Linked DNA regions of Mus musculus. The protein of the gene in region 1 purifies or fractionates together with the protein of each later gene. This does not show direct contact. Links are inferred from orthologs where the notes say so. Each region holds a gene or a part of one and is shown in the gene's direction. Other genes may lie near its edges. The genes, in order: Upf1, Alyref, Dcp1a, Stau1, Magoh, Smg7 and Upf3b.

Region 1 (3,000 bases):
GTCTGGAACTTGTCCAGTAGCTTCTGTAGCTTCTCCAACCAGGTCCCCAAGAGCTGTTCTGGCCTCAGCTAGTGGTTTGGGCCATGATCCCTTTAGAACTGCTAAGGCCACCTGTCTGCCTGAGTGCTGCTGCCCTTGTATCCTGCAACAAACCTGTGTCTACCTCAGCTAGGCTGGCCTCTGCTTTCTGGAAGCTTCCAAGTTTGTCTAGAAAGTTCCATCGTGGCCAGATCTCACCAACCCTTCTGTCATTTCTTACCCTCTACCAGCACTCTGCATGTCAAGACACACTCGACCTCCCTACTTGTCTGGCTGGCCCAGCAGCTAGTTCATGGCAGCCAGTGTCCACTGGAGCCCTGCATCTGACTCAAATGTTTTGCAGGCCGGCCCTCGAACATGTACTTCCAGACCCATGACCAGATTAGTATGATCAGCGCAGGCCCCAGCCACGTGGCTGCCATGAACATCCCTATTCCCTTCAACTTGGTCATGCCTCCCATGCCGCCACCTGGCTACTTCGGACAGGCCAACGGGCCGGCAGCTGGTAAGCGGTTTTATCTCTACTGCCCAGGCTCTCCTCCTAGCTTTAGGTAGACCTTGCCATATTTCACTGCTGTCTTTCAGGTCGGGGCACCCCAAAAACCAAGACTGGCCGTGGGGGCCGCCAGAAGAACCGCTTTGGGCTTCCTGGGCCCAGCCAGACCACCCTTCCCAACAGCCAGGCCAGCCAGGACGTGGCCTCCCAGCCCTTTTCACAGGGTGCCCTCACACAGGGTTACGTGTCCATGAGCCAGCCCTCTCAGATGAGCCAGCCTGGCCTCTCCCAGCCAGAACTGTCCCAGGTGGGCCTGCATCCTACAGCAGAGAAAAGGGGGTGGAGGGGTGAGGGGACACATGAGACCATGATGCTGCCTTTCTGAAGGGTGAATGAACTCTACTGCTATGGATCTGAACCTGTCACCCTGCCACTCTGGCTGCAGTATGGGGTTTCTTCCCATCCTCGGGTCTGCGGACTGGGTGGCTGTGGGCTACTAGCTTTCCTGGCCATGTTCACACTACCTTTGCCTTTCAGGACAGCTACCTCGGTGATGAGTTTAAATCACAGATTGACGTGGCACTCTCACAAGACTCCACATACCAGGGAGAGCGGGCATACCAGCACGGCGGGGTCACCGGGCTGTCCCAGTACTAGAAGGCAAGTGCCCTGGTGGGTTCAGCTCTCTGCACACGTGTGCAAACAGGGTCTTCCCAGACAGACTGGGCAAGTAGATATGGTGTGTTGGCAGGTCCTGCCTCTACTGGCCCTGACACCTCTAACCCTGTCCCTGATCACAGGTAGCGGAGGAAGAGCTAAGCTATGTGGCTTAGTCTATCAGCATCTTATTCTGGGTAATAAAAAATAAAAATAAATGGATACCTGTTTTCCACTGCTAAAACTGAAGCACCACTGTGTGAGCAGCCGAGGAGAGGAGAGGAAAGAGGAGCGAGAGCGAGCAGAGAGCGGCCAGGGAGGACGACAGAGCGGAGCGCCGAGGAGCGGGCGCCCCCTGTGGGCGGCGAGAGGAGAGAGGCCCGCACCGCTGCGAGGCCGGCCCAGCGCCGTGCCCGCCAGAGGGAGAGGCCTCGCCAGGACCGGCCCCGCTGTTCTTTTTCTTTGTTTCTCGTGATTGAGGGGCTACGTTTTAGCAGGACGAACTTCGCGTTTCTGTGCCCAAGCGGGCGGCCAGGAGCATCAGTGCGCGGTCCCAGCGCTAAGGGGTTTCATTTAAAGAAAATACGGTGTTTGGGGTTTTTCTGGTTTTTCTTTTTTTTTTCTTTTTTTTGGTTTTTTTTTTTTGTTTGTTTGTTTGGTTTTTTTTTTTTTTCTTTTTGGTTTTCCTTTCCTCCCCCCTACCCCCTTCAAAGATTCTTTCAAAGGAGTATGGGAAGTACTTGGATCGGTTTGTCTCTAGAGACCTGACTGTTAAACCTGAGAGATGCGAGAAGCTTCCGGGAAAGGCAGCGCTGAGAAGCCTGAGCCCCGCAGCCTGGGATCACCGCCTGCACCGCAGCCGGAGGATTTGTTTTTGAGTTTGAGCTTCAGAGGCCACAGGCGAACTCGTGAGCACGGCCTGCGGGTTCTTCCCCATCGAGGGTGGAGGCCTCATTGCTGGGCGCCCTGCCCCGGACCCCCACCTCCCGCGGCAGCCACCCAACCCCTACCCAGGCACACCTGCGCCAACGCAATGGAACTTAATTTTTAGTCAAATTTGTTTTAAGCTTTTTGTCACCAATAAAACATGAACAAACAGTCCCTGCTTTTGCGTGGGGCGGTCCCTGAAAGGGTGTCCCGGGTGGTCAACGGCAGCCACACTCATCCACCACCATGTCTTCGTAGTGTCGCAGGACCACGTTGTCACTATTGTCGAAGAAGAGCACGGAGATGGGTGATAGACGCTCTGGCACGCAGCAGGGCGAGCCTGCACCCGGGGTGGGAGCAGCTGCGTGCATGAGCGCGCGCAGCACAGCGTGGTTGAGTGCAGGCGGCCCGCCGGGTCCCCTCAGCGTTTCGGGTAGTGCGCACGTGCCCTGGCAGAAGTTGGCTAGGAAGCCACGCGGCGCGATCACCCAACGGTGCCAGCCCACCTCACGGAAGCTCACATGCAACCGTCGGGTACGACAAGTGCCCACTGGACCAACTTCTACCCTGGGCTCCGTGTGGCGCCGCAATCGCGGCAAGGGACACAGGCGTGGGTCCAGCGTCACCAGCAGCAGGGAGGCCTCAGCCAGGCGCCCACAGGCTGCAGTGGCCCCAGGGTGCAGTGACAGCGCCAGGCGCACAGTACAGGGCACTGATGCGTTGGCGGCTACTGCAGTCCCCAGTAGGTCTGCGCGCAGGAGCACCCCTGGTGGCGCCGGCACGCGCAGCAGCTCAGGCCCTGGATGCTCTGCGTCGGCCCACAGTGCCACGCTTAGCTCCCACCCCCCTGTATCTTCACTCTCAGCCTCCAGCCGCAACTC
Region 2 (4,647 bases), on another chromosome or scaffold:
TCCTCTTGCCTCCCTCTACTAAGTGCTATTATGGTCTGTGCCCCCATGACCTGAATAAAACAAGTGTTTTTGCAACAGAGTCTCACTGTGGAGCCCAGACTGGCCACCAACTCAGAGATCCACTAGTCTCTGCCTCTGCCTCTCAAATGCTAGTATTACAGGTGTTTGCCATCATGCTGGATGGGGTCTTTAGACAAACCTGGGCTTGAAGTATTCTGCTTCTTTTTTCTGTCGACTTTCCCCTCAGATAATAGAAACTAAAACCCACAATTTTTTGTTTTTGTTTTACCTGGTCTTTTATCAAGTCAGGGCTTTTCTTTGTAGCCCTGGTTATCCTGGAACTTGCACTGTTTGGCTTTTTGTTTTTGTTTTGTTTTGTTTTTTGTTTTTTTTTCAAAACAGGGTTTCTCTGTGTAGCCCTGGCTGTCCTGGAACTCCCTCTGTAGATCAGGCTGGCCTTGAACTCAGAGATTCACTTGCCTCTGCCTCCAGAGTGCTGGGATTAAAGGCGTGCAACACCACTGTCCGGTGGGGTTTCGGTTAGGGTTAGGTAACTTGTCCTGTTGACCAGGCTAAACTCAAACTCAGAGATCCTCCAGTCTCTGCCTACCCAGTGCTGGGAAACCTAGGGATTTTTAGGCTGGTGGAGTAGGCTAAAGTTCTGAGAGCGCATAGGAAGACACTTACAGTCTGGACAGCAGCCATTAAACGCCATCCTGCAGATGCCGCAGTTCTCATCATTGGCTACCCAGAGCCAAGTGGCCACACCATTCCAACATTTAATTTTCACCTTCATGACAACAGAGCCTGTGACCTGAGGGAAGAGGATGACCTGGAGTTAGTACGGAATACGAAAGCACCTAAGCTCAAAGTCATGGAGCTGCGGCAAGTGCTGCACTCGTCAAGAACGGCATCTTCCAAAATTCCGTGCGTCCCGACCAAAAAGAAAGAAAAAGGCACGTGTTTGTCTTTAAAGACGGCAAGGAGAGCCTGTGGGATTAATGGCACGAGTTTATTTTGCCACCTTTAAGGATGCCTTTAAAGATCTGCACTCATGTAGTCTGGCACGGTGGCACACGCCTCTAATCCCGGGGCAGAAGCAGATCAGCCAAACAGGAAACGAAAACAAACAAAAAAACAAAAACAAAACCTCCGCATCCACGCAAAACATTGGTTTTCACTAACCAGGGCCTCGCTTTTAAAGATATGGAAAGAGTGACTGTCACTAATCCGCGAAGTTAAAGCAGGGGTGAGGACGCCAGCTCGTCAGGAGACCGAGCCTTCGAGCAAAAACAACCAAGTCGGACCCACGGACCGGCCGGGACCCCCACGATCGCACGGTGAGGAGGGACGCGGGACGCGCACACTGCGCTGCACCCAGGCGACGCCCGAGGATCTTCCGGCCTCCCAGGGAGGCGCCCGCAGGCCCCGCCCCCTGCTCGCCCTCGCACCTCCGCGGCCTAATCACGAGGCGCCCCGCCCTTCCGTTGCCTCCGCGCGGGAATGTATAAAAACGACCGCGCCGCGTCGGGCTCCTCCGAAGTAGCGCCAGCCACCGCGGCGAGCCGTACGCAGGCGCTCTGCGGAATCGCGCGCGCCCAGACCAATCGCCGCTCGCTTCGGGCCCGCGACGCCGGAAGGCAGGGGGAGGCGCCGGAAGTGACGCCGCGGCGTGCTGACGCGCGGGCTCGATCCGAGGCCCGAATCCGCGCCCGCCATGGCCGACAAAATGGACATGTCTTTGGACGACATCATTAAGCTGAACCGGAGCCAGCGAGGAGGCCGCGGCGGGGGCCGGGGTCGCGGCAGGGCCGGCTCCCAGGGCGGCCGCGGCGGCGCAGTGCAGGCCGCCGCGCGGGTGAATCGAGGCGGCGGGCCTATGAGGAACCGGCCCGCCATCGCCCGCGGCGCCGCAGGCGGCGGCAGGAACCGGCCGGCGCCGTACAGCAGAGTGAGTGCGGGGACCTGCGGCGCGGGCCGGGGAGGGTGCGCCCGGGCCGGCCGGGACCGGGTGAGCGTCCCGCGCGGGACCGCGGCCGAGGGGTGGGCGGGGGCGAGGCCGTCCCGAGGCCAGGATCTTCCGGGACGCTTTGTCCGGTCGTGGTCCAGCCTCGTGGCGGCGGGGGCCGCTGCGAGAGAACTTGGGTGTCCGTAGCGGAGCGGCGGGGCTGGGGGACTCTCGGGGCTCCTCGACCTTGGCCGCGGGGCCGACGGGAGAGCGTCGCCGAGGTGTCGCGGGCTCCCGGGACGAGTCTCACGAGTGTCTCTGTGCTTACGGTTTCTCTCCAGCCGAAACAACTTCCCGACAAATGGCAGCACGACCTCTTCGACAGCGGCTTCGGGGGTGGAGCCGGCGTGGAGACCGGCGGGAAGCTGCTGGTGTCCAACCTGGACTTCGGAGTGTCAGATGCTGATATTCAGGTAGGAGACGGGAGCTCTCCGCTTTCCTCGTCCCACGCGGACGTGGGCTCCAGGATCCTTTACAGATTGGAACCTGCCCTCCCCTAGGCTGCCCAGAGCCAGCCACTGTCACCCTGAGAGCCTTGGCCTCAGAAAAAGTAGGGTTTGAGCACGACCCCATAAGCCAGGCTGCAGGAAGATGTCACACACTGTGTGTGTATGTGTGTGTGTGCGCGCGCCCCCCTAAAAATGAGTCCTGTCTGCTGTCCAAACTGTGAGCGCCTGCCCTGTGCCAGAGCTTACAGTTTCTAACCTGCACAGACTGGCCACAACTCCGGTCCCAGCATGACCGAAAGGTGCTTGCTTCTCAGATTTATGCTCGATATGGTGAACTGATAGGAGAAGGAAGTCCAGCATCTCCCAGATGCTGAGAAAGGTGGCTGAGAGTATCTTCCAGCCTGCGTCTCTGTGCTGGATCTTAACTGGCGATCTTTCCTGGGTCTTACCTGGGTCATGGTTCTCCATGCCTTCGAAATATTTTTTTTCTCTTCCCCTCCCTTCTTGGATTTTGTGTCTTTTTAAATTTCTTTATAAACTGGACCTCAGAGGCATTTAGAGTTCTCTGGTTACAAGGCATAATTTTGGGAATTAGCTTTGATATAGCCAGAACTGAGTCAGGTGTGCTGGGCCTTTCTGGGTACCGTTCCCCAGAGCCCAGCTGTTTGACCTCCCCATGGGAGAAAAGAACAAGGCTGGTGAGCACTCACAGTGTCTCAACACTTCTTTTTTTTTTAAGATTTATTTATTTATTTTTATGGATTTGAGTACAGTGTCACTCTCTTCAGAGACACCTGAAGAGGGCATCAGATCCCATTATAGATAGTTGTGAGTCACATTGGTTGCTGGGAATTGAACTCAGGTCCTCTGAAAGAGAGCAGCCAGTGTTCTTAACCCCTGAACCATCTCTCCAGCCTGTCTCAACACTTTTTTTTAAAGGTGGTTTCTGGCATCCACTGGAAACTGCTTTAGCTAGCTGTACTCCCCACTGTGTGCCTGCAGCTGAAGTGCCTTACTCTGTGGGTTCCCTCTCCAACTCCCAGCCAGGACAGGTTCCATGCTGCATTTCACTTCAGACTTGGCAGCAGCAGGCAGTAGGAGGAAAGGGGAAGGTGAGCTAGAACCTGCCTTTGCAGTAGGGGCTGTGTCACAGTTCCCCAAAATACTGGGCCCTTTGCGTTGTCTGCTCAATGGACAGTTTTACTATTGGCCTCTGGTATTTAGTGAAACGCAGTTAGTCAAGTTGAAAGTACCCCTGCTGAGAGAGAGTTTTGTAGTTTTGTCCTGTGATAGGACTTTGTGTCTTCCCTCATCTACAGCATGGTGTAATTACATTGTCCCACAGTGGACAGTAACCCAGTTGTTCGCGACAGTTGCTGTCTCCCCTTCCCTCAGCTCTTAATCTCCACTGCCTTGCCTTCTTCCTGGGTGGCTGTCAGTCAAGTACCTCTAAAGCATAAGGACTTACAGCAAGTGTTGCTGAGCTACAAGAAGGAAATTGGCTTAATTGCTAATTTTTACCCCTTCCCAGGAACTCTTTGCTGAATTTGGGACATTGAAAAAAGCTGCTGTGCACTATGATCGCTCTGGACGAAGTTTAGGGACAGCAGATGTGCACTTTGAACGGAAAGCAGATGCCCTGAAGGCTATGAAACAGTACAATGGTGTCCCTTTGGATGGTGAGTCTGGGACTGGGCCCTGGATGCCTGTGGGGCGTGTGGAGTTTGGGGCTGGCACCTCTCCCTGTAGGAATCTGGGCTGCCCCCCCCCCCTTGGCTGAGGATACTTTGCATTTGCCCCTTTGTCTCTCTCTTCCATTCTGCCACCTCTCATGCTGCCCCACACATCTGGACCAACCTCTTGTGAACCCCCATCCAGCAAGCTACATCCCTCCCCTCCTTGAGCTCCTTCCGGAAGATTCACTTCTGTGAAGCCTTCTCAGAACCGCCATAGTACAACCTGAGTGCGGGGCTGTAGTCGTAAAGACAAAGGTACCTGTTCTTCTTCCGTCAGGTCACCCACACCTGTCTGCCCATGAGCACCCTGAACACCTGACCAAACAGCCCTCCTAGCCTGAACTGAGAAGGAGTGAGGAGGTGTTGGTGGGGTTATTATTATTGCACTTTATTTTCCCACCAGGCTCTCCAGGCCATTTACCTTGTTGGGGGCATTGGAGACACACAGAGCCCT
Region 3 (4,438 bases), on another chromosome or scaffold:
GCTAAATTAGGGACTAGACCTTGGTGGCTAGTGTTAGGAATAAAATCTAACAGTTTTTAGCAAGGCAGAGGGAAAAGGGGAGAAGAGCAAGGTCTGCCAGAACCTTGCCTGCCATGCTGGAACTGGTAGTGAGGTTCCTTCACTACCTTTCCTGGCTCAGATGGCAATAAGGACGCCACCCTCTGGAATTCAAAGAGAGACATCTATCATGGGGCTGTTTGCTTGCGTTTAGTTTCTCCTAGAGCCAAAAGAGTTGGAAGCTCGGAGCTGGCAACCACTCAATAAGATCAGTGAGTGTGTACAGAAGTGAAGGGTGAATAACCGATAGGCGGCTGTTCCAGCTTTTGTAGTTGCTTCACACGCGGTTCTGTCAAGAATGTAAAGTTTGCCCTTCCATTAGTATGTAAAACCACAAGCAACACAAATATGTGGGGGTACTTTGAGAAAATGTAAAGTTTATCCTTTCAAAAATGTTCATTTGTGCTGAGATGTCTTCAATAAAGAGAAACGATGGTTTTTAAAGCAACTCAATGAAAACAGCCTGAGCACTTTGCTTTACCTCTTAGTACTTCCTGATCCCTTAAAATGCCCAATAAATGTTTTCTTTTTAAAAGAGATCTACTTACTATTTTAAATAATAGACGTCTCTATAGAACAATAGAAATATTTATCTGGGACCCAGATGAGGAAAAAGACGAGCAAAAGAGGGTAGGCCAAGTCTATTGTAGTTCCAGGCAGGCTAGTTTGGCTGCTTTGAAACATTTCTTTCAAAAGTTACCAAACTGTTAAGAGTGAAGGTGCACTCTGAGGTCAGAAGTGACGGACAGCTCCCCTTCCTCATTTGGACTGAGTTTTCTTTTTTCTTTTTTTAAAGATTTATTTATTTTATGTATATGAGTACACTGTAGCTGTACAGATGGTTGTGAGCCACCATGTGGTTGCTGGGATTTGAACTCAGGACCTTTCGGAAGAGCAGTCAGTGCTCTTAAACGCTGAGCCATCTCTCCAGCCAGGTCTGAGTTTTCTAAATGGTACGTGGAGACCTCATGTCCTCAGCAGCAAGCATTTCGATTCTGCGCCGGAACCCGAGTTAGGGACTGCGCTGGGGTGCAGCCTCCCCGGCAGGAGTCAGGTTCATTCAGGGAACCGGTTCACACCCCGCCAGGTGAGAGAGGTCTCCGGACTATCAGCTCACGGCTCCACCGCGCAGGCGCGGGGGCCTGTCTCTTCCGGCAGACGCGGCCCGAAGAAAATCGGAACCAGGGCTCCTGGCGCACAGGAGCAGCGGATGAGATTAGCTGAAGTACCACGCTCGGCAAGGCTGGGCCGGTAGGCGGAAGTGGAGGGCTGACTGAGCTGGGGGAACTTTGCCTGGATGGCACTTTCCTGTTCCACAGTCCGCCCCCGCCGGAGGGGCTCGGCTCTGAGATCCAAGATGGAGTTGTTGAGTCGAGCTGAGCAAGAGATGAGTCTGGCGGCCTTGAAACAACACGACCCCTATATCACCAGCATCGCAGACCTCACGGGCCAGGTCGCCCTGTACACTTTCTGCCCCAAAGCCAACCAGTGGGTGAGTGAGGCCCGGCCGGGGACAAGGCCAGCCTGGCCGCTGCCGCCTCTTAAAGGGACCGCGCAGACAGCTGAGGATTGGGGGTGGGGGAGAGAAGCAGGAGCCCAGGACCGCAAAGGCGAGGCCGGGACCTCTCCCAAAACCGGGTCCGGAGCCAAAGAGGTGACCGGGGCACGCGGAATTGAAAGAATGTAGCGGAAGGAGTAGACCAGAGACAGAGCAGGGAAATCGGATGGAGGAGAGAAACGAGGCAGGATCAGTCTTTTTGGGTCGGTTCTCGGGGCTTGAGGTTGCATTGGTAAAATATGAGACAAGTTAATTTTAACAAGTGAGTGAAAGCCTGTGTTTGAAGACTTTGAGGACTCTTAGATACATGTACTTGATGGAAGAGTCCGCTCCTCTTTCCCTGCCGACCTAAATGTGATGGTTTGGATTTGAAGCTTTAAAAATCAGCTTCAGGAGTTAGACCAGCTTTAGTCGAACTACTCTGTATCTCTGGAATTTGAGGAAAATTTTCAAGGCTACTTCAGTAAGAACTGGATTCCTTGGAGACGTTTGCAAGAAAAAGAGACCAGTGCTAGGACCTTTGATGGCTCCCTTCTTTTGGGATTGTGTGAGTGGCATAGAGTTGCAGAAGTTACTTTGTCTACTCGCAGATTCTAGTTAACCTCAACTCGAAGCACCTGTGTACACGGCCCCTTTTCTTGTGCTCCGTTTTTCCTCATTCACTCATTGGGCTATACAGAGGTTCGGTTTTAGAACATTAAAGCTCAACACCTGCGCTGAAAACCCGAGTTAACGCTGTTGCAGCAAAAGAAAGAATACTAATGTTCGATTTTCTTGTTTATTTCTTGTAGTACAGGAACTCAAACCCAAGACCCCCTGATAGCAGGCAGGCACTGTTCCTCTACCACTGGGCTATATACCCACCCCGAGTTACAATTTCTTAGTCACATTTTCAGTTGTTTATTTTAAAACCCTACCAAATTTGCCTAAGGCAGAGAATGGTTTCTATCCATGATTCTTAACAAAGTTCTGAAAATAATAAATTGTGTTTGGTAACCGCAAAATGTGTAACTTGTGAAAATATTCCTAAATCCTCCAGAAATGAAACAAAGGATCTTATAAGAAAATTTCCCAAGGGTAGGGATTTAGCTCAATGGTGCACAGCTGTGCATCATGAGCCCCAGGCTCTGAGTTCAACCCTGGTATCAGGGTTGAAGAAAGTTCTATTCTTTTTCTATAAACTTCCATAGACTGCTTAAGTTTGTTTTGTTTTTTTATTTTGGTTTGGTTTTTCTTTTTTTAAGTTGCAGTACACAATACCTTGACTGTAAATATTAAGATACCTAATTGAAAGGTTTTTGTGTTTACAAAGATAAAACTGGGGCTGGAGAAGTGGCTCAGTAGTAGCTACGAGCATTTGCTGCTCTTCCTGAGGACCTGGCTCAGTTTTCCAGCATCCCCATGCTGGTTTATATCCATCTGTAACTCTAGTCCAAAGAGATCCAATGCCCTCTGCTGTCCTCTGTAAGCTCCACACACACATATGTTACAAAGACATATGTATGCTGACAAAACATTCCTGCACCTTTTTTAATTGAAAAAAAAAACTTAATACATAAAAATAATAAGTAAAGCTAAGTGTGTGTGTGTGTGTGTGTGTGTGTGTGTATGTATGTATGTGTGTGTTTTCCTTTAGCTGTTCCTTACTGGTGGAAATAGACATAGGCTACAGATGAAGACATATTGTTGGATTAGACATTGCATACACTTATATAAACACAGGGTTGAATGGGTACACAATTTGTTTAGAGTTTTAAAAAGTGGCATGGGTTGGGGATTTAGCTCAGTGGTAGAGCGCTTGCCTAGCAAGCCCAAGGCCCTGGGTTCGGTCCTCAGCTCCGGAAAAAGGAAAATAAATAAATAAATAAATAAAAAGTGGCTTGCTTTACCTGCTCAAAAGTGATTAATTTGGAGACTAAAGAGACAGCTCAGCGGATGAAGTGCTTGCCTCCCAAGCATGAGAGCCTGAGGCATTCACATAGAAAGCTGGGCATAGTGCTTGCACTTACAATCCCACACTGGGATATGGAGCCACTTAGGATCCAACACTGGAGCCCGCTGACCAGCAAGTGTAGCTTAATTGTCCATCTTCTGGCCAGTGAGACCCCCGACTGGAAGGAATGACACCTGAGAGTGACCACTAACCTCTACACAGTTATACACGAGCGCCGGCATGCATTCCCGAGAGCACATACACAGCTGATTCCACCGTAAATAAGACAAGTTGGCCTGAAAGTGTGTCTGCTTCAGCTGAGACCATTTGGCATTGGATTATTTGTGGAAAACTAACAGAGTTATTGTCTGTTACAGGAGAAGACTGATATAGAAGGGACGTTATTTGTATACCGAAGGTAAGTTTCTTAAGGGTGTTTCTATTTCACTTCAATGGTGATGATCATTGTCGTGTAGCATGGTCAGTTTCTATTGTGTACCTGTGTTTGGAACCTTCCTGTCTTTCTCCAGTTTTCCTTCATCCAAGCAGTGCAATCCTACAATAGCTGCTTCTCCTCTCCAAGCCTGGGAAAAGTGGCTCAGAATTTTTAAATTAATGCATCCCAAAGAGATGCCTGCCTAACGACTATCCCATGTTAAAAAGAACACATGCATATAAATGTCTATGAAAACAGTATAATACAGTGGCTATAAAGTAGTTGAGACAGCACTCTCGCTGGTCTGTAGTGTCTGATAAGAATTTGCATTCTGTGCCTGGTTCTGCCCCTGTCTGCTTCTTTCCCAAAGTTCTAGGCTATTCCTAATTCATATATATTTTACTTTAAGCTTTTCTGAAAATTAATTTTTTAA
Region 4 (3,856 bases), on another chromosome or scaffold:
AGTATACTCATATTCATAAAATAAATCTTTTTTTAAAATGTGGGTTATGCCATGACAATAATCTTTCGAGCTGTTTTGGTTTGTGAAGGTTTGTGAATTAGATGACCTAAGAGAGCAAATTAGAAGATGAGTAGTGTGTGTATTTCTGTGAGTGTGTATACACATGTGTGCAGATGTGTGTGCTGTGTATAGAGTTCAGAAGACAGCACTGGGATTTCTCATGAAATTTTCCACCTATTCCTTAGAGGTAGGACCTCTTCCTAAAATGTGGGCTCATGTTTTCTCAGCTAGGTTGGAAGACAGCAGTCCTGTTAGAGCCGGGGTAGCAGACATGTGTGGGACCTTGCTGTGTCAATGTAGGGATCTGAATTCTAGTCTTTATGATTAGACAGCAAGTGCTCTTACTGCTGAGCCCTATCTCCAGTCTTAGTCTGTATTTTCTCAAGTCATCAATTCTGAGGTTAAAGTTCCCTGTTGATGTATATGAAAATGAAACTGGGTTTCCTGTCATCTGTGACCATGGTTCAGCCCCACTGTAATGTTAGGTTGGAGATATCTGGATGTTTTCTGGTCCTCATTTGCCTCCTCTAGACATCCACTTCCCTCAACTTACCCAGGTTTTTCCCGTGATTCTGTACACTGTGTGGATTCTTGGATTTCCTGATGGATGTCCAGGGGTAGAGTGCTTGGCTGTTAGCATCAGTGTCCAGGGCCTGAACCATCCTTTGTATGATTTTGTGTTGCAGAAAGTATAGCTTCTACCATTGAGCTCAATGCACTGTGTGTGAAACTGGAAAGAAAACCAATGTATAAGCCCGTGGACCCTCACTCTCGGATGCAGTCCACCTACAGCTATGGCATGCGTGGAGGTGCCTATCCCCCCAGGTATGTGCTTGGGGTGGAATTAGTTGGGTTTTTCCCTAAAGTAGTCTCTATGAATTGTGAATGATTTGGTCTGCCTCAGGTTCACCTCTGGACTTAAGGTGTGCCTTTGGTACTGTGCTGGGACTGTTGAAGCCTACTGCCTTTGCAGAGGGCCCAAGCAGGTTGCTCAGGAGCAGCTGCATTCACACCCATGGTCTGGCTACGTTGTTTCCTCAGCACATGCTCCTGAAAGTCTTCTCTGACATTGTGCTTTGTGCAACGCTGAGACTAAGTAATAGTGCTCAGAAGGGTCAGAGCCTAAAGTGGCTGCAGATGGCCTATAACCCTAGAGTTCCAGAGGTGGAAGCAGAAAGAGTATCTGCTAAGTAGAAGCCAGGCCAGCCTGGGCTACATAAACTCTTGTTGTATGTTCAAACCTTTGCTTCAGGAGTGAGACATTAGTGAACAGATCAGTGATGGAGGCAGCTGTTTCATTTTCCACCCATCCTCTGATGAGGTGCAGGAGGGCAAAACCTCAAAAATACAGGTTTTGAAGTAGAAGGAACCAGACTCTTTTGGACTTGGTGCTGCTGAGATTTCCAAAATGAGGGTCATTTCCAAAAGACGTCACCCTTAAAATTCCCAGACTCTTTGAGAGATGTGCAAGTGCACACTGAAGGCTTGAGAAAGGAAAGCAAGCTAAGTTTGTCTCGGCCAGCACCTGCGTTCATTCAGGCACTGTCAGTATGGCCTATTGTGGAGCATCAGATGCGTACATAGCATGTGTCAGCTACTAGAGTAAGTGTGACTCTAGCGCTCTGCTTAGTCACAGTGTGGCAGCTGTAGATCATATGAGTTTTAGGGCAGCTTTTGTAGAGCTGACCAGGAGGTCTTTCTAGCTATGAGCACGGTGACAAGGCCAGAGTACACAAAGAGTGGGGTTTGCTGAAGAAAGTATGGCTGACTTAGGAGATGGAGACTGAGACCCTACCCTTGTGTTTGTAGATACTTTTACCCATTTCCAGTCCCACCTTTACTCTACCAAGTTGAGCTCTCCGTGGGCGGACAGCAGTTTAATGGGAAAGGAAAGATGAGACCACCCGTGAAACACGATGCCCCTGCCCGTGCGCTGAGGACTCTGCAGAGTGAACCCCTGCCAGAAAGGTTGGAGGTAAGGTGGACGCGAGCTTGAGACACCTCACTGACTTCCAAGGTGCTGCTGCTGTCTGTACTACTGGGTAATTAATCCAGATTCTGTCACTGGGAAAGTGTCCCCTAAATGTCTCAGCAGGAAAGCAAATGGCCTTTCCTTTTCCCCTGGCAATGGAGTGTAGAGCACATGGTGGGTGTGGGAAGGCCGGGGCTCTTGAGTTGTGAGTGTCGGATTCTCAGTGCTGACACCTATGCTCTTGGAGCTGCTGATTGGTGTTCTTTTTGTTTTTTGTTTTTCCTGTGTAGCTCTGGCTGGCCTAAACTCACAATGTAAACCAAACTGGCCTTGAACTCACAGAGCTCTGCCTGCCTTTGCCTCTTGAGTGCTGAAATCAAACCTGTGAGCCACCACGCCCAGCTAGAAGCCATGATTTGTGGTGCTAAATTAAGAGTATTTGTGACCTTCAGCCCACCACCATTTTCTGTAGAAATGCTTTTAGTCTTTTGTTAGCACGTTATCCTAGAACATGGTGCATGTATTTTACTCAAAGATCTGCAGCTTGAGCAGGGCTAGATGTGGCGGCTTGCTGGCAGAGGAAGCTCACCAGGACGTCACCAGCTTGGGAGGACTTAGTAGAAAAATGGCTCCTCCTGACAGGGCACCGTAGTTTCTGGGTAGTGTCCCTCTTACAGGGGCTGTTGGTACCTCCTCACAGTTTGGTGACTGCATCTCAAGAATGAGAATCCTTATAGACAGGAAAAGGAAGCCAGTTATTAAAGCCAATTCTCTGAACCCACAGCCTGGCTTCTGTCATGGTTTCTAGGTTAGGCAGTCCCAGAGCTAAAGGAAGGAGATAAGGAGACTCACCTTTGTGTGTTCTTTTATTAAAGACCACATTAGATGAACTCTCAACTCTAGTACAAGCATTATCCAGTGGCTTCTAGGGCACTCACAGTGTGGAAAAGAAGGTGTTGAAGAATTTGGAACTTTTTGTTTGTTTTAGCTACTGCTAAAGGTTAATGCTAATATTATTAGCCATGGGTTGTGATTTAAAACTACAGGGTAGAAAAGGAATCTTACAGGTTTTTTTGTGTTTGTTTGTTTTTTTTTTTTTGTTTTCCTGTGCCTGGAGAGTAAGTAATTTTTAAAAAAAAAATTTATTTATTTATTTTATGCATATGAGTACACTGAAGCTGTACAGATGGTTGTGAGCCTTCATGTGGTTGTTGGGAATTGAATTTTAGGACTTCTGCTCACTCTGGCCCAAAGATTGATTTATTATTATAAGTAAGTACACTGTAGCTGTCTTCAGACACACCAGAAGAGGGCGTCAGATCCCATTACAGATGGCTGTGAGCCACCATGTGGTTGCTGGGATTTGAACTCAGGACCTCTGGAAGAGCAGTCAGTGCTCTTAATCACTGAGCCATCTCTCCAGCCTGAGTAAGTAATTCCTAGGATGACTGTTGGTAGTTGCTTGACCAGCTTCATGCCAGTGAGAGACTTATCTCCAGGGTGGATGCAGCCTATGGATGGCACCAGCTGGCATGGCTCCCTCATAGACAGTCAAATTTCAAACCAAACTTTGTAGGTCTTCAGCTTTCTAAGGCACTTGGAGGGAAGATTAGCTTTAAGAACTAGCCAAGGAAAGCAGCCATGCAGCCATAAGGGACAGGGAGAGGTGGCTGTTTAGGAGGCTGAGGTAGCACTGTCCCTTGGGTCCAGCTTGGGCAGGGCGGCAAGCACATGAAGAAGAGAAGGCCAGAGCTCTGCTGTTGAGGGGTAAGGAAGCATCTAAGCCTGGCTGCATGATGCTGGGGAAGCCAGTGGGTAAGGGAG
Region 5 (2,941 bases), on another chromosome or scaffold:
GGTTCAGTATCATGGAAGGGTTGGTTTCAGGAATTCTGGTACTAGAGTCTTTAGTGCTTAATTTCCTTATATAAATTAGTGTCATGTTTGCTTGAAGCCTATGTACTTCCCATATAAGTCATCTTTATAAAACCAAATTCTGGGAAATAGCCGTTATAATGTATCGCTTAGGAAATGATAAGAGAAAATGTCTGAACATACATGTGACAGTTGGAAACCCCATAGACCTAACTATATCCACTCATGGCTGAGCCCACAAATGCAGATAGAGTTGGGCCAGTTGTATTTTCAGAAGTTGCTTCTTGTAGTTAATGTAGTTACTACTTCTCAGTGACATGGAAGAATAAATAGTGACAGCTGCTTCTCAGTGACATGGAGGAATGTGTAGTGACAACCAGAAGAGGAAATGACATGAGGCCACACAGTGCTGTGTGACCCTCACTGGGCGAACAGCTTCTCTGTGCTGACTGTTCGGACTAGCTCATCTTAGTCTTGGTGAAATTTGAAATCTTGCATCTAAGTTTTAAAATGCATGTTGCCAATGGTGTGACTTCTAACACTAGGATGTGATTCTATTTGCTATAAAGAACCTTAGAATTTGGCAGGCTCTCTGCTTTCTGGACACACTTGTCAGTGCTGCTTGCTACTTTAAATTTTCTTCTTCAACTCTTAGAACAATAGATGGTCATTGTAGAAAATACAGGAGCTATAGAAAAGAGAAAGGGGGAGTTCTTTCATATCCTTAATAGACAGCCAGTGATAACATCTTTTTGGTTTCAGAAAGGCTCTTATTATCTAGCTATGACTGTCCAGGAACTCAGCTATAGTGGTCAGGCCAGCCTTGAACTTTGAATAGAAGCATGTGTGTCTCCTCTGCCCAGCTCTACCTAACATCTCCACGTGTAATGTCTTAGTCTTAGAGAGCACCAGGAGCTGAGGCAGGTGGTGCATGCTTGTAATCTCCAGTACTCGGGAGGAATAGCGCAGAAGATCAGCTCACGCTGCGAACCCGAGATTGTGTTACTTACTTTGAAATACCCTGCCTTTAGGTGTGGTGTGGCTCAGCCTTAGCACACACCTGTAATCCAGGAGCTTTCCGCTTGAATATTATAAACATGATTAAGTCGACCATAGGCCAAAAGGCAGAGCAATCAGTTGACAGAGAGTGAACATAGGAAAAAACTAGAGAGTAACAGGGAGTTGGGAGAGCTGAGAGGTGCAGGACGTAGAAGGGAGGGGCATCCAGTTTGAAGGAGGAGCTTCGGAGACGCTTCTAGGACATTGGTTGATGAGGAACGTCAGCTGGGCGCTTTCTCTGCCCCTCTGAGCTTTCACTCCAGTATCTGGCTCTTGGAGGCTTCATTGATAAAACCAAACAATTCAGATTTTGTTTTAAAGAAACAACATAGGAATCTCATGATTGAGCCATTCTGATGTGTGTATATATATAACAAGACCCAGCCTCAAAAACAAACAACTTTTAGCCCCCTCACCCTGTGTTGGGGTGGAGGTAGAACTCTTTGTTTAGGTTTGTGGTACTAGGAGTTGAACATAGAGCATCTATCCATCACTGACCTGGTTTCCAGCTCTATGTATAGTTTTGTTTTAAAAGCACAAGAGACAAAATCTGTTTTAGAAATCACAGTTTTTCCCCTAAACTTTATATATTTTCACAGTAAAAACAGCATGGCTTCCTAATATATCATTTTAGTAAGTGGCCCTTGTTAATGGACATGTGCTTCCTCAGGGTTTATTACTGTAAATATCTTTATAAGGAGCATTTTTATAGTAATCGGGGTTATTAATTTTTTTTTGGTATTTGCCAGTTTTCCTCTGCTTCTTAAACATTTTGGTTTTCTTTTGTGTTTTAGGGATCCGGAAGGCTTGCGAGTATTTTATTATCTTGTCCAGGACCTGAAGTGTTTAGTCTTCAGTCTGATTGGATTACACTTCAAGATTAAACCAATCTAGATATTGGATATTGTGGACACAAGGCGGGTGGGAGTTTTTAGTTACCATAATTAGGATTTTTTTTCTGTATATTGGGGCAATTTTTATAAACAATAAATGATGATCTTTAATAAATGCGATAACATCTTTTTTTGTTATTTTTCTAAACACCTGAATATGTGAATTCTCAGTCTGTAAGATACAAACATTCTGTGGGAGACTTGACAAAGCAAAGAAAAAAACAAACCTAAGCAACTAAGAACTGCCATTTACAGGAAATGATGGGGAAAGGTTTAAAAATTCAGTGAGGGCCAAGGAGATGGTTCTGGCAGGAAAAGCTTTAATGCATAAACTTGACCACTACCCACAGCCCTGGGACCTATGCTGGGCCTGGACTAAGCCACCCAGGAGCAGAAAGCGATCCTGTCTGAGCAAGGTGGAAGGCAAGAACTGACTCAGAACTTCCACCCCTTTGCTGTGCCATGGGTGTGCGCTAGCACACACACTGCTGAATATTTTTTTCAATACATTGAAGTTGAGAACCCCATTAGCAATATTCTAGGACAAGGTACCTGGGTTTTGTTTTGACCACGCCTCCCCTCCCTTTCCTGTCCAGGATGACTTTGAACTTGGGATCTGTCTCCCAAGTGCTGGGATTTTAGGCAGGTGCCACCACACATAGTTCAACCTGGATTTTTAAGTTTCAAGGGAAATGGAAACCCTGAAGATTTACAAGATGACTAATTGCTGGAGTTATAGCTCAGTAGTAAAACACCTGACTAGCATTCATAGCTTCTTGGGCATAAAATTTTATTGTGGTTGGGCATTTATTTTTTATTTATGTATATGGGTACATTGTAGCTATCTTCAGACACACCAGAAGAGGGCATCAGATCCCATTACAGATGGTTGTGAGCCACCATGTGGTTACTGGGAATTGAACTCATGACTTGTAGAAGAGCAGTCAGTGCTCTTAACCACTGAGCCATCT
Region 6 (4,623 bases), on another chromosome or scaffold:
TAGATACTTTTTTTTTATGGCAAGTTCTAAAACACTGCAGATGTTTTTGAGGAGGGGGTCTTTGGAGATCAACCTTCGATGACGGAGCGTCTTTTCTCTCTGAGGGTACCTCTGGAAAGAACGTCATCAGCCTTTCTGATCGCTCTCCATTCTAAATGCCTAAGAACTGCGTGTTAGCCTCCTAGGCTGGGTTCGAGCTCTCACTAAGTCGCCTACGGGAGGTCTCGCCGGTGATATCGAGTAGGAATTAGGCAAGGGTCGACCGGCTACAAAAAGTCGAACATTCGCGATCGCCGGAGCCGCATCTCGGTTGTCATGTGCCCGTCTCTTCCCTTAGGGACCCGCTTCTGGCGGGATCCCGCTGCCCAGCCTCAAACAGTGGTGGGGAAGCCCCTTCCCTTTCCTCTGACTTCGCAGCATCGCCCTCGCTTTCTCGTTCCCACCCACTCGCCGCCGGCCTTCATAACCTGCCTTTTCTTCTCGGGCCCGGCCCTCTCCCTACCCGGCTCAGATAGGCAACGATGGAGGTGGTTTCCACCCTTGGGGGACTGGCAATGCCTAAAATGAATGCTTCGGGGTCTCCCCCAATTTTTGCTGGGAGAGTAAGGGAGGAAGAAATGGACTTTCCTACTCGGATAACCATTTCGACTTCTGGCTTTTAAAAAGGCAGGGAATCCAAGTGGGGAATCCTGGGCAGTTTCCAGGGAACCCGTTTCTCTACGGGAGGGTCACCCTGTCTACACACGGCAGTTACTATGACAATACAACCACAGCCTCCAGTTTCCATGGCAGCGGCCTGCCCAATCGGATTGGTTTTCCTTTCTATTTCTCCCTGGGCTCCGCCCTATTCCCCCCCCCCCCCCCAACCTTCTCCCAGAGTGCCCGGGGAGGGGCGGCTGAAACGGGGGAGGCCTCTGCGTCACTCTCCGGCGCGCGAGGGGACGACCGGAGTCGAGGAATTGGCGGGCGGAACTGTAGGAGGAAGGGGTGGCGTTTCCGGCGGGGAAAGTGGAGGAGTGGGAAAAAAAAAAAAAAGAAAGAAGGAAGGAAGTGAGAAGTGGGCGGGTGGCCGGGCGGAAGGCTTTGAGTGTGACTCCGGGCTGCTCTGGGCTCGATGTCCGCGGTGAGCCGGGGGCCGCCCCCGCGCCCGGGAGGAACAGGACGGAGCCTTAGGAGGCCGCCGGGCACCAGCACCGGATCGTTCGGCCGGCGCGCGGGCACCGCACCGCTCGCCGATCCCAAGAGGGAGCGCTACAGAGCGGCGGAAAGCACCCAGAGGGACCGGCGCTGCTGAAGTCTCGCGAGAGCGAACCCGACTTCCTTCCTCTGCTTCTCCCCTCCTCTTTCCCCGCCCCTTTCCCCTTCTTTTTCCCCCCCCCCTCCGGAGCCGGAGCGTCCCTGCGCCCCACAGGCCAGAGCCGCAGCCGCTGCCGGAGCCGCTCCCCCCAACTCCCTCCCCCTCGCCTCACTCACTCTCCCCCCCCCCCACCCCGCGCCAAGCGAGGAGGAGTCGGAGGAGAGGAAGATGGCGGCGACCGCCAGCACCCGCGGGGCCGCGGGGCCGCTCCGAGGAGCCTGAGAGACCCACGGAGGCTTCGCGGCGAGACGCGGCGGCGGAGGATGAGCCTGCAGAGCGCGCAGTATCTCCGGTGAGCGCCGGAGCTTGGCCGAGGCGTGGTGGCGACGGGGGAAGGGGAGGCTCTCGGGGGGCCGAGGACCGGCGGACTCGGAAGCGGTGGGGGAGTCGCGGCGTCCTTCTGTCCCCAGGGCGGGGAGGCCGAGCGCGGGGCCGAGCGGGCGGCTGCGGGAGGGGGCGGGCACACACATGGCTGCCTGGCCCCCGGGAAGCCGGGCGAGCCGCGCTCCGGGGGAAGCCGGGCGAGGAGCGGAGGGAGGTTGGGGAAGCGGGAGACGAGAACGTGTGTGTGAGTGTGTGTGTGTGCGTGTGCGCGCGCGCGCGCGCGCCTCTGGTCGCAGGCTGCGGGGCCGGGGTAGGGGAGAGGAGAGCCGGCAGCGACCCAGAGTCGAGGTGGGTGTGAAGGGGTCTGGAGCCCACGGCCCGGGAAACGTGGTGTGCTGGCCGGGGCGATGCAGGAGAGAGGAGGATGGAAGTCGGCACACCTGGGGGTTGGGAGGGCGCATTCTGGAGGGCAAATGAGAGGAAGGGGAGCCCGCAGGAAACGCGAGCTTGTTCTTTAGTCGCGGGCTGGAAGGAGGAGAAATAATGCCTTCTGTCCAGAGTTAGAGGGGTCGGAGAGCCCGGAAAGGGGGAAAAAGGATGGGGAGACGAGGGAAGAGGGAGGTGCTACGAACAAGGTGATGTTCTCGAAAGAAACTGTAGTTGGAAGATACCATTCTGAGAGTCGTGTGCATTCATTAGGTGCGATGTAAGGAACTTGTATGAAGGAGATAGAGTGACCCATGGGTACTGGGGGTGCGTGCGTGTGTATGTGTATGTGTGTGTGTGTGTGTGTGTGTGTGTGTGTGAGTGTCTGGGGTAAGGGAGGGGAAGCAGGGATTGATGCACACTTAAAGAAGACTCACATGCATTAACACCGACGTCGAGAACATTTTGAATGGAAAGACAGCAGCTGGTGTGCAGTCAGAATAGTTTGACGGATTTTGAGTGAGAGCTTGGAGGAAACTAGAGGGGAAAATACAGCCTTCACAATGGGAAATAAGGTTGCTAGTGCCTGAGGCTAATGGAGGAGTTGCTAAGACTGGGAACTTACAAACTGGCCTTTTTGTCTTTCAGGAACAGTGTTTTTCTTTTAAATAGCAGGTCTTATTTGGGAAGATACTTTTAAAAAGTGAGTTGAAACCTTGAGGAGAAGAGAATTGAATGGGTAGATAACTGAGTAAGATTTTCTTTAGCTGTTTAGACATAAGTGATGTGGAAGTCGATGTGTTAAGAGTGGTCCCATATATATATTTATATTGCAAGAGAATTGATGTTGTTCTGTGGTAAACAGAGTGGCTATTCTGTCTTTGAAAGTAGTTATTCATTACACTGGAGAGAGAGTGGTGGGATCTCTGAATCTTTGATGCATGAATTCCAGAGTTTAGCACAATGTGTATGCCTGATATTATAAGGTGGCATTCTCTTTTTTTTCCTCTGTTACCCTTATTACTGCATTAAGTAAACTTTACAGTGAGCTGTGAATATATAGGTGCAGTAGAAAAAAATAGAAACTACCAGGACAGTTCTTAATCTTAAGGAAATTACATGATAATATCCAGTGTGTGAGTAAATTAATAGCACAGACTAATGTAGCTATCACCACAAAAAGGTACCATGTTTTTGAGTCCTAGATGACCTGAGCAGTTGAGGGAAATAGGAAAGGCTCTCTTTGTTCATCTGCTCTTTCTACTCCTATGATTCATTGATTGGTTGGTTGTTCACCTGTAGGTAAGGCATTGTACCAACTGCTAAGAATAGAGAGTAAGGACTCCACCCTCTTACAGAACTTACTAGTTTGTTAGGTTTTAGAAGAAAAGAACACTTAAACTTTTATAAGGATGGACTCTTCCTGACAGCTGTGGATTAAGAAAGGGAGATTCTAAATGGAAGGACATAGATAATAAGGAAATGGAAGGGGGAGTGGTGTTTGGTTAGGCAAGAATGCTGGAGGGCTTGAATGGAGTTTAACTTTTTTCTTTTGCAGATTAGGAAGGTGAGTCCAAAGAAGCTATTGAGGATCGAATGGCTGGTGTGTAAAAACAAATTCAAATGCTTGTCTTGTAGCTTCATGTCAGCTTTCTGTGCTGCATATCTATGCTCATTCTTTGCCCAAGTGTGAACTGAGGGCTTTCTATAATCTAGGAGCTGAGACTTCACTGGTGAAACAAGGGTGAGCATGGGGTAGTCTATCTTGATAGAAAGTCAGTAAACATGAACAGATAAATACACTATAAGGTCCTTTGAAATGATAGAAAGGAAAATAAGGCCGTGTATTTTTATATGAACACAGGAAAACCTATTCTGTAATCTGATGCTAGAAGGGTCTTAAATTTTATGATCTTTAGTTTATAGATAAAATAAGTAGACATCAGAAATATTATGATGAGGGATGGATAGAGATAGGAATATAGCTTCATTTGTAACATAGCATGCTTGCTTACCCTGCACTAAATAAAACTGAGTATAATAAAGTTCGCCTGTAATCCTATCATTCTGAAATAGGAAACAGGAAGATCAGAAGTTCAAGGTCATCCACTATTTAGCAAGGTCAAAGCCACCTGGGCTTCATAAGGCCCTGTCTCAAAGAAAGAAATCTGAGATGACTTGTTAAAAGGCAATTTGTAAGCCCGGCTGTGGTGGCACACGCTTTTAATCCCAGCGCTTGGGAGGCAGAGACAAGCAGATTTCTGAGTTCGAAGCCAGCTTGGTCTACAGAGTGAGTTCCAGGACAGCCAGGGCTACACAGAGAAACCCTGTCTCGAAAAAAACAGCAACAACAAAAAGGCATTTTGTAGGTTTACAGCTTTGAGAAAATTACTGTGTCATAAACTATGTGGACCTTTAGTGCTTGAAATAAGGTCTTGGCAGTTGGAGGATTGTGATGACAAACTGGAAAGTGCTGATACTTTTAATGCAGAGATAGCTGGCTTTTAGAAGCTTCT
Region 7 (3,856 bases), on another chromosome or scaffold:
ACTTGATAAAAGAGACAAAACCAAGAGACTGGACAAAGAAAATCTGAATGAAGAAAGAGCCAGTGGGCACAGTTATACTCTGCCCAGGCGTTCTGATGTCGAACTGAAGGATGAAAAGCCAAAGAGGTCAGTCAGCAGTGAGAGCCGGGCCACTAATGCAGATGCCGCCGTGTCCTGGACTTGTATGGAATTAAATTATTTGTCATGGCGCACACAACCTGCAGTAACACTCAGGAGGCTGAGATAGGAGGATGGGTAGCTTCAAGATCAGCCTAGACTACATAGCAAGACCTTCTCAAAAAAATGAACTACTGGGCTGGAAAGATGGCTCAGTGGTTAAGAGCACTGACTGCTCTTACTGAGGTCCTGTGTTCAAATCCCAGCAACCACATGGTGGCTCACAACCATCCGTATTGGGATCCAATACCTTCTTCTGGTGTGTCTGAAGACAGCTATAGTGTACTCATATATATAAAATAAGTAAAATAAGTAAATCTTTTAAAAAAAAACCTCTTATTTAAAAAAAAAAAGGAGCTGCTTTATATGGAGTAGAGGGAGGAGGGTCATATGTTTCAAATATTCTGGTGTCTCCAGCTAGATGAATGACCGCTGTCTTTTTTTTCCTTTTAAAGATTTATTTTTATTATTTTCAGAAATATTATTTATTTCTATTATTTTGTGTGTGTGTGTGTGTGTATCTGTCTGTCTGTCTTGGGTGTGCCTATTTGTGCATGTGCCCAAGGAGGCCAACGGTGTCAGATCCTCCTGTAGCTGGAGTTACAGGCGGCAGTGAGCCACCTGATATGGGCTCTGGGAACCAAATTTGGGTTTTCTGCAAAAGAAATAGACTCTTGACTTATGAGACAGCCCTCCAGCCCTGACTTCTGGTTTTTCTTATTTTCTAAAACAACTCCTACTTTTTCCTCAGCTGTAAAAGTGCACCCTCAATAAGATGGCCAACTTAGAACCACAGTGTTTCCGTATTTGCAATCATAGGATGTGTGAAGGTTTGGCCTCACCGTTGTTTTCTGTTCCGTTCTATTTTGTCTTGTCTTGTTTTTCAGACAGGCTCTCGGAGCCCTGGGCACTTCTCACATCATTAGGCAAAGCACTCTATCAACTGAAAGGTGTCTCCAGCCCTCTTGTTTATTTTTCACACAGGCTCGATGACGAGGGTGTCAGAGATTACAGAGACAGGGACCGGGACTATGAGAGAGATCAGGAGCGCATGATCCGAGAAAGAGAGAGGCTGAAGCGGCAAGAAGAAGAGCGCCGGCGGCAGCAGCAGAAAGAACGCTATGAGAAAGAGAAGGCTTTTAAGCGAAAGGAAGAAGAAATGAAGAGAGAGAAAGAGGCACTTCGAGATAAAGGAAAGAAGAGTGAGAATACAGAATCAATATGCTCATTAGAAAAAATTGAAAAAAAAGAGGAAGTGGTTAAGAGAGACCGCATAAGGAACAAGGTGCTGCTGTTTTTTTATTAAACTTGGTTGTTTTTATGAGGATTCCCCCCCTATTCTTAGAAGGATAAATTTAAAGGAATGTGCCCTATCCCCACCCCCACTAGGTATTGAATCATTGCAAGCTTTCTGCCAGTGAACTTCATCCCCAGTCCCTATTGTGGAATTTTCATTTTCTTTTTTTCTAATTTATGTATTTATTTTTTGCATGTGTGCACATGAGTGTGCACACGTGCATACATGTCCAGTGCATGAATAGTGGTGAGAGGACAGTTTGTGGGAGCCATTTTCTCCTTCCACCAGGTGGGTTCTAGAGATTGAACCCAGGTTGTCAAGCTTGGCAGCAAGTCCTCTTACCCAATGAACCATCTCATCAGCCCAATGGTAATTTCTTTCTTTGTTTCTTTTCTTTTTTGTTTTTCTTTTTCTGTTCTCTTTCTTTCTCTCTCTCTTTTTTTGTTTTTGTTTTTTTTTTTCAAGACAGGGTTTCTCTTTGTAGCCCTGGCTGTCCTGGAACTCATTTTGTAGACCAGGTTGACCTTGAACTCACAGAGTTCCGCCTGCCTCTGCCTCCTGAATGCTGAGATTAGCAGCATGCCCCACCCTGCCCAGCTTCAAAGGTAATTTCTTACTATCCTAATTATTCCTAGTGAGAGTTTCCCAGTTGCATCATTAATGTCTTTTTAAATAAGGGCCATGAACAATGTTCATAGTGTGTGGTTGAATTCTATTTTGATCTAAACAATCTTTTTTTTCCCTGATACATAATTGTTTGTTGTAGAAACCAGTTTGTCCTATGAATCTTCTCAGACTGTACATTGGCAAATTATAACTTCTTTATCTCATTGAACATATATATTCTGTTTCTTTTATAATTACTACTTAAGCACTAGTACTGTCATAGACAACAGCATAAATGGAACCATAGGTTCAAAACACAGCATTAAAAATTTATAATTAAACAATTTTTAAATGAAAATAATAGTCAAATCTTGGAAAAACAGCTGCTAATATTTTAGGCTATCTGAGCCATATAGTCTCTGTCACAACAGCTAAATTCTTTAAGGAAATAGACATGGGTAATATATAAAAATGAGCTTGGGGTTGAGTGTGTTTCTCAGTAGTTAAAAGTGCTGGCCTAGCTTGCATGGCAGGACACAGCTTTTATCCTAGCACTTGGGAGGCAGATGGAGGAGGATCTCTGGAGGACAGCCTGGTCTATTTACTTGAATCCAAGGACAGTCGGGGCTATGTAAAGAGACCCTGTATCAATAACAACACTTGGGGCTGGAGAGATGGCTTAGCAGTTAAGGGGTGAATATTTTTTATTTTTTCAATTGCTAGTACCCATGTCAGGCAGCTCACAGACATATATAACTCCAGTCACTGTGGGCAACTGCATGTACTTATAGATACACATGCATACTACTTCCCCACACAGTTAAAAAAATAATAAGGAAAAATAAATCTTTTTTTTTTTTAAGGCTAGGCATGGTGTATACCTGTAATCCCAGAACGCAGGGGCAGAAGCAGGTGGGTTTCTGTAAGGCAAGCAGATCTTTTCTTTTTTGCTAGGGATCAAACCCAAATCTAGTTAGGCAAGAATTCTACCACTGAGCTAAATCAAGCCAAACTTAAACATATTTTTGTGTAGTTTTAGATTTTTATAATGAATTTATTGCATGGGACATGGTGGCCCATGTCTGAAGGAGGATTTCAAGTTGGAGGTCAGCCTAGGCTACTTTAGGCCCTGTTCTCCCTCTCCCACCACAAAAGGCGATTTACTGGTAGAGAATCACAGGCATGTAGTTGTAGTTTCTCCAGTGACTTACACCCCCCCAGGCCAGTTGTCTAACCCCTGGCTTTGAATGTATTAAACACTCTGTTACTGAGCTACAGCTTGGCCCTTGGTTCTTGTAGTTTCTAAGTTTAAAAAAATTAGGGGTAATTAATTCTTATTACCTAATACCTATAAATTAGGTTATCTTGAGGTAGTTTTAAAATTAGGCGAATACATTATATGCATGTACAAAATTCTCAAAGAATTAATAAAATATTATTTTAAAATTTAGAGGGGCTGGAGAGATGGCTCAGCGGTAAAGAGCAATGACTGCTCTTCCGAAGGTCCTGAGTTCAAATCCCAGCAACCACATGGTGGCTCACAACCATCTGAAATGAGATCTGACGCCTTCTTCTGGTGTGTCTGAAGACAGCTACAGTGTACTTACATATAATGATAAATAAATCTTTAAAAAAATTAGGCAATAGACTTCTCAAAACATCACCCTTGGCATGTTAAGTAATTCTTAAATGACTACAGGTTGAGCATAGTGCTAAACACTTTTAATCCCAGCATTCTCAAGAGGCAGAGACAGATGGATCTCTGTGAGCTCAAGG

What was found.
Region 2: the proteins of Upf1 (region 1) and Alyref purify together in Homo sapiens (co-immunoprecipitation; 3 studies listed by BioGRID and IntAct, with this or other methods). This does not show direct contact. The link is inferred for Mus musculus from reciprocal best matches to the Homo sapiens genes UPF1 and ALYREF.
Region 3: the proteins of Upf1 (region 1) and Dcp1a purify together in Homo sapiens (co-immunoprecipitation; 4 studies listed by BioGRID and IntAct, with this or other methods). This does not show direct contact. The link is inferred for Mus musculus from reciprocal best matches to the Homo sapiens genes UPF1 and DCP1A.
Region 4: the proteins of Upf1 (region 1) and Stau1 purify together in Homo sapiens (affinity purification with mass spectrometry; 7 studies listed by BioGRID and IntAct, with this or other methods). This does not show direct contact. The link is inferred for Mus musculus from reciprocal best matches to the Homo sapiens genes UPF1 and STAU1.
Region 5: the proteins of Upf1 (region 1) and Magoh purify together in Homo sapiens (affinity purification with western blotting; 3 studies listed by BioGRID and IntAct, with this or other methods). This does not show direct contact. The link is inferred for Mus musculus from reciprocal best matches to the Homo sapiens genes UPF1 and MAGOH.
Region 6: the proteins of Upf1 (region 1) and Smg7 purify together in Homo sapiens (affinity purification with western blotting; 7 studies listed by BioGRID and IntAct, with this or other methods). This does not show direct contact. The link is inferred for Mus musculus from reciprocal best matches to the Homo sapiens genes UPF1 and SMG7.
Region 7: the proteins of Upf1 (region 1) and Upf3b purify together in Homo sapiens (co-immunoprecipitation; 16 studies listed by BioGRID and IntAct, with this or other methods). This does not show direct contact. The link is inferred for Mus musculus from reciprocal best matches to the Homo sapiens genes UPF1 and UPF3B.

Annotation. Positions count from the first base shown.
Region 1 is NC_000074.6:70,330,815-70,333,814, reverse strand, and holds the end of Upf1 (regulator of nonsense transcripts 1), read left to right. Parts: intron 1-382; coding exon 383-544; intron 545-624; coding exon 625-842; intron 843-1,072; coding exon 1,073-1,192; 3' UTR 1,193-1,195; exon of another isoform or gene 1,196-1,207; intron 1,208-1,335; 3' UTR 1,336-2,322; downstream 2,323-3,000. Other genes in the region: Gdf1 (embryonic growth/differentiation factor 1 precursor), read right to left, coding at 2,338-3,000. UniProt on the Homo sapiens protein: RNA-dependent helicase required for nonsense-mediated decay (NMD) of aberrant mRNAs containing premature stop codons and modulates the expression level of normal mRNAs.
Region 2 is NC_000077.6:120,595,409-120,600,055, reverse strand, and holds the start of Alyref (THO complex subunit 4), read left to right. Parts: upstream 1-1,690; 5' UTR 1,691-1,717; coding exon 1,718-1,951; intron 1,952-2,289; coding exon 2,290-2,421; intron 2,422-3,988; coding exon 3,989-4,136; intron 4,137-4,335; exon of another isoform or gene 4,336-4,448; intron 4,449-4,647. Other genes in the region: Anapc11 (anaphase-promoting complex subunit 11), read right to left, coding at 688-796. UniProt on the Homo sapiens protein: Functions as an mRNA export adapter; component of the transcription/export (TREX) complex which is thought to couple mRNA transcription, processing and nuclear export, and specifically associates with spliced mRNA and not with unspliced pre-mRNA.
Region 3 is NC_000080.6:30,478,247-30,482,684, forward strand, and holds the start of Dcp1a (mRNA-decapping enzyme 1A), read left to right. Parts: upstream 1-1,318; 5' UTR 1,319-1,375; coding exon 1,376-1,570; intron 1,571-3,946; coding exon 3,947-3,987; intron 3,988-4,438. UniProt on the Homo sapiens protein: Necessary for the degradation of mRNAs, both in normal mRNA turnover and in nonsense-mediated mRNA decay. Removes the 7-methyl guanine cap structure from mRNA molecules, yielding a 5'-phosphorylated mRNA fragment and 7m-GDP.
Region 4 is NC_000068.7:166,961,608-166,965,463, reverse strand, and holds part of Stau1 (double-stranded RNA-binding protein Staufen homolog 1), read left to right. Parts: intron 1-746; 5' UTR 747-805; coding exon 806-885; intron 886-1,869; coding exon 1,870-2,035; intron 2,036-3,856. UniProt on the Homo sapiens protein: Binds double-stranded RNA (regardless of the sequence) and tubulin.
Region 5 is NC_000070.6:107,885,306-107,888,246, forward strand, and holds the end of Magoh (protein mago nashi homolog), read left to right. Parts: intron 1-1,871; coding exon 1,872-1,971; 3' UTR 1,972-2,119; downstream 2,120-2,941. UniProt on the Homo sapiens protein: Required for pre-mRNA splicing as component of the spliceosome. Plays a redundant role with MAGOHB as core component of the exon junction complex (EJC) and in the nonsense-mediated decay (NMD) pathway.
Region 6 is NC_000067.6:152,899,535-152,904,157, reverse strand, and holds the start of Smg7 (protein SMG7), read left to right. Parts: upstream 1-1,511; 5' UTR 1,512-1,620; coding exon 1,621-1,649; intron 1,650-4,623. UniProt on the Homo sapiens protein: Plays a role in nonsense-mediated mRNA decay. Recruits UPF1 to cytoplasmic mRNA decay bodies.
Region 7 is NC_000086.7:37,093,128-37,096,983, reverse strand, and holds part of Upf3b (regulator of nonsense transcripts 3B), read left to right. Parts: coding exon 1-126; intron 127-1,161; coding exon 1,162-1,462; exon of another isoform or gene 1,463-3,856. UniProt on the Homo sapiens protein: Involved in nonsense-mediated decay (NMD) of mRNAs containing premature stop codons by associating with the nuclear exon junction complex (EJC) and serving as link between the EJC core and NMD machinery.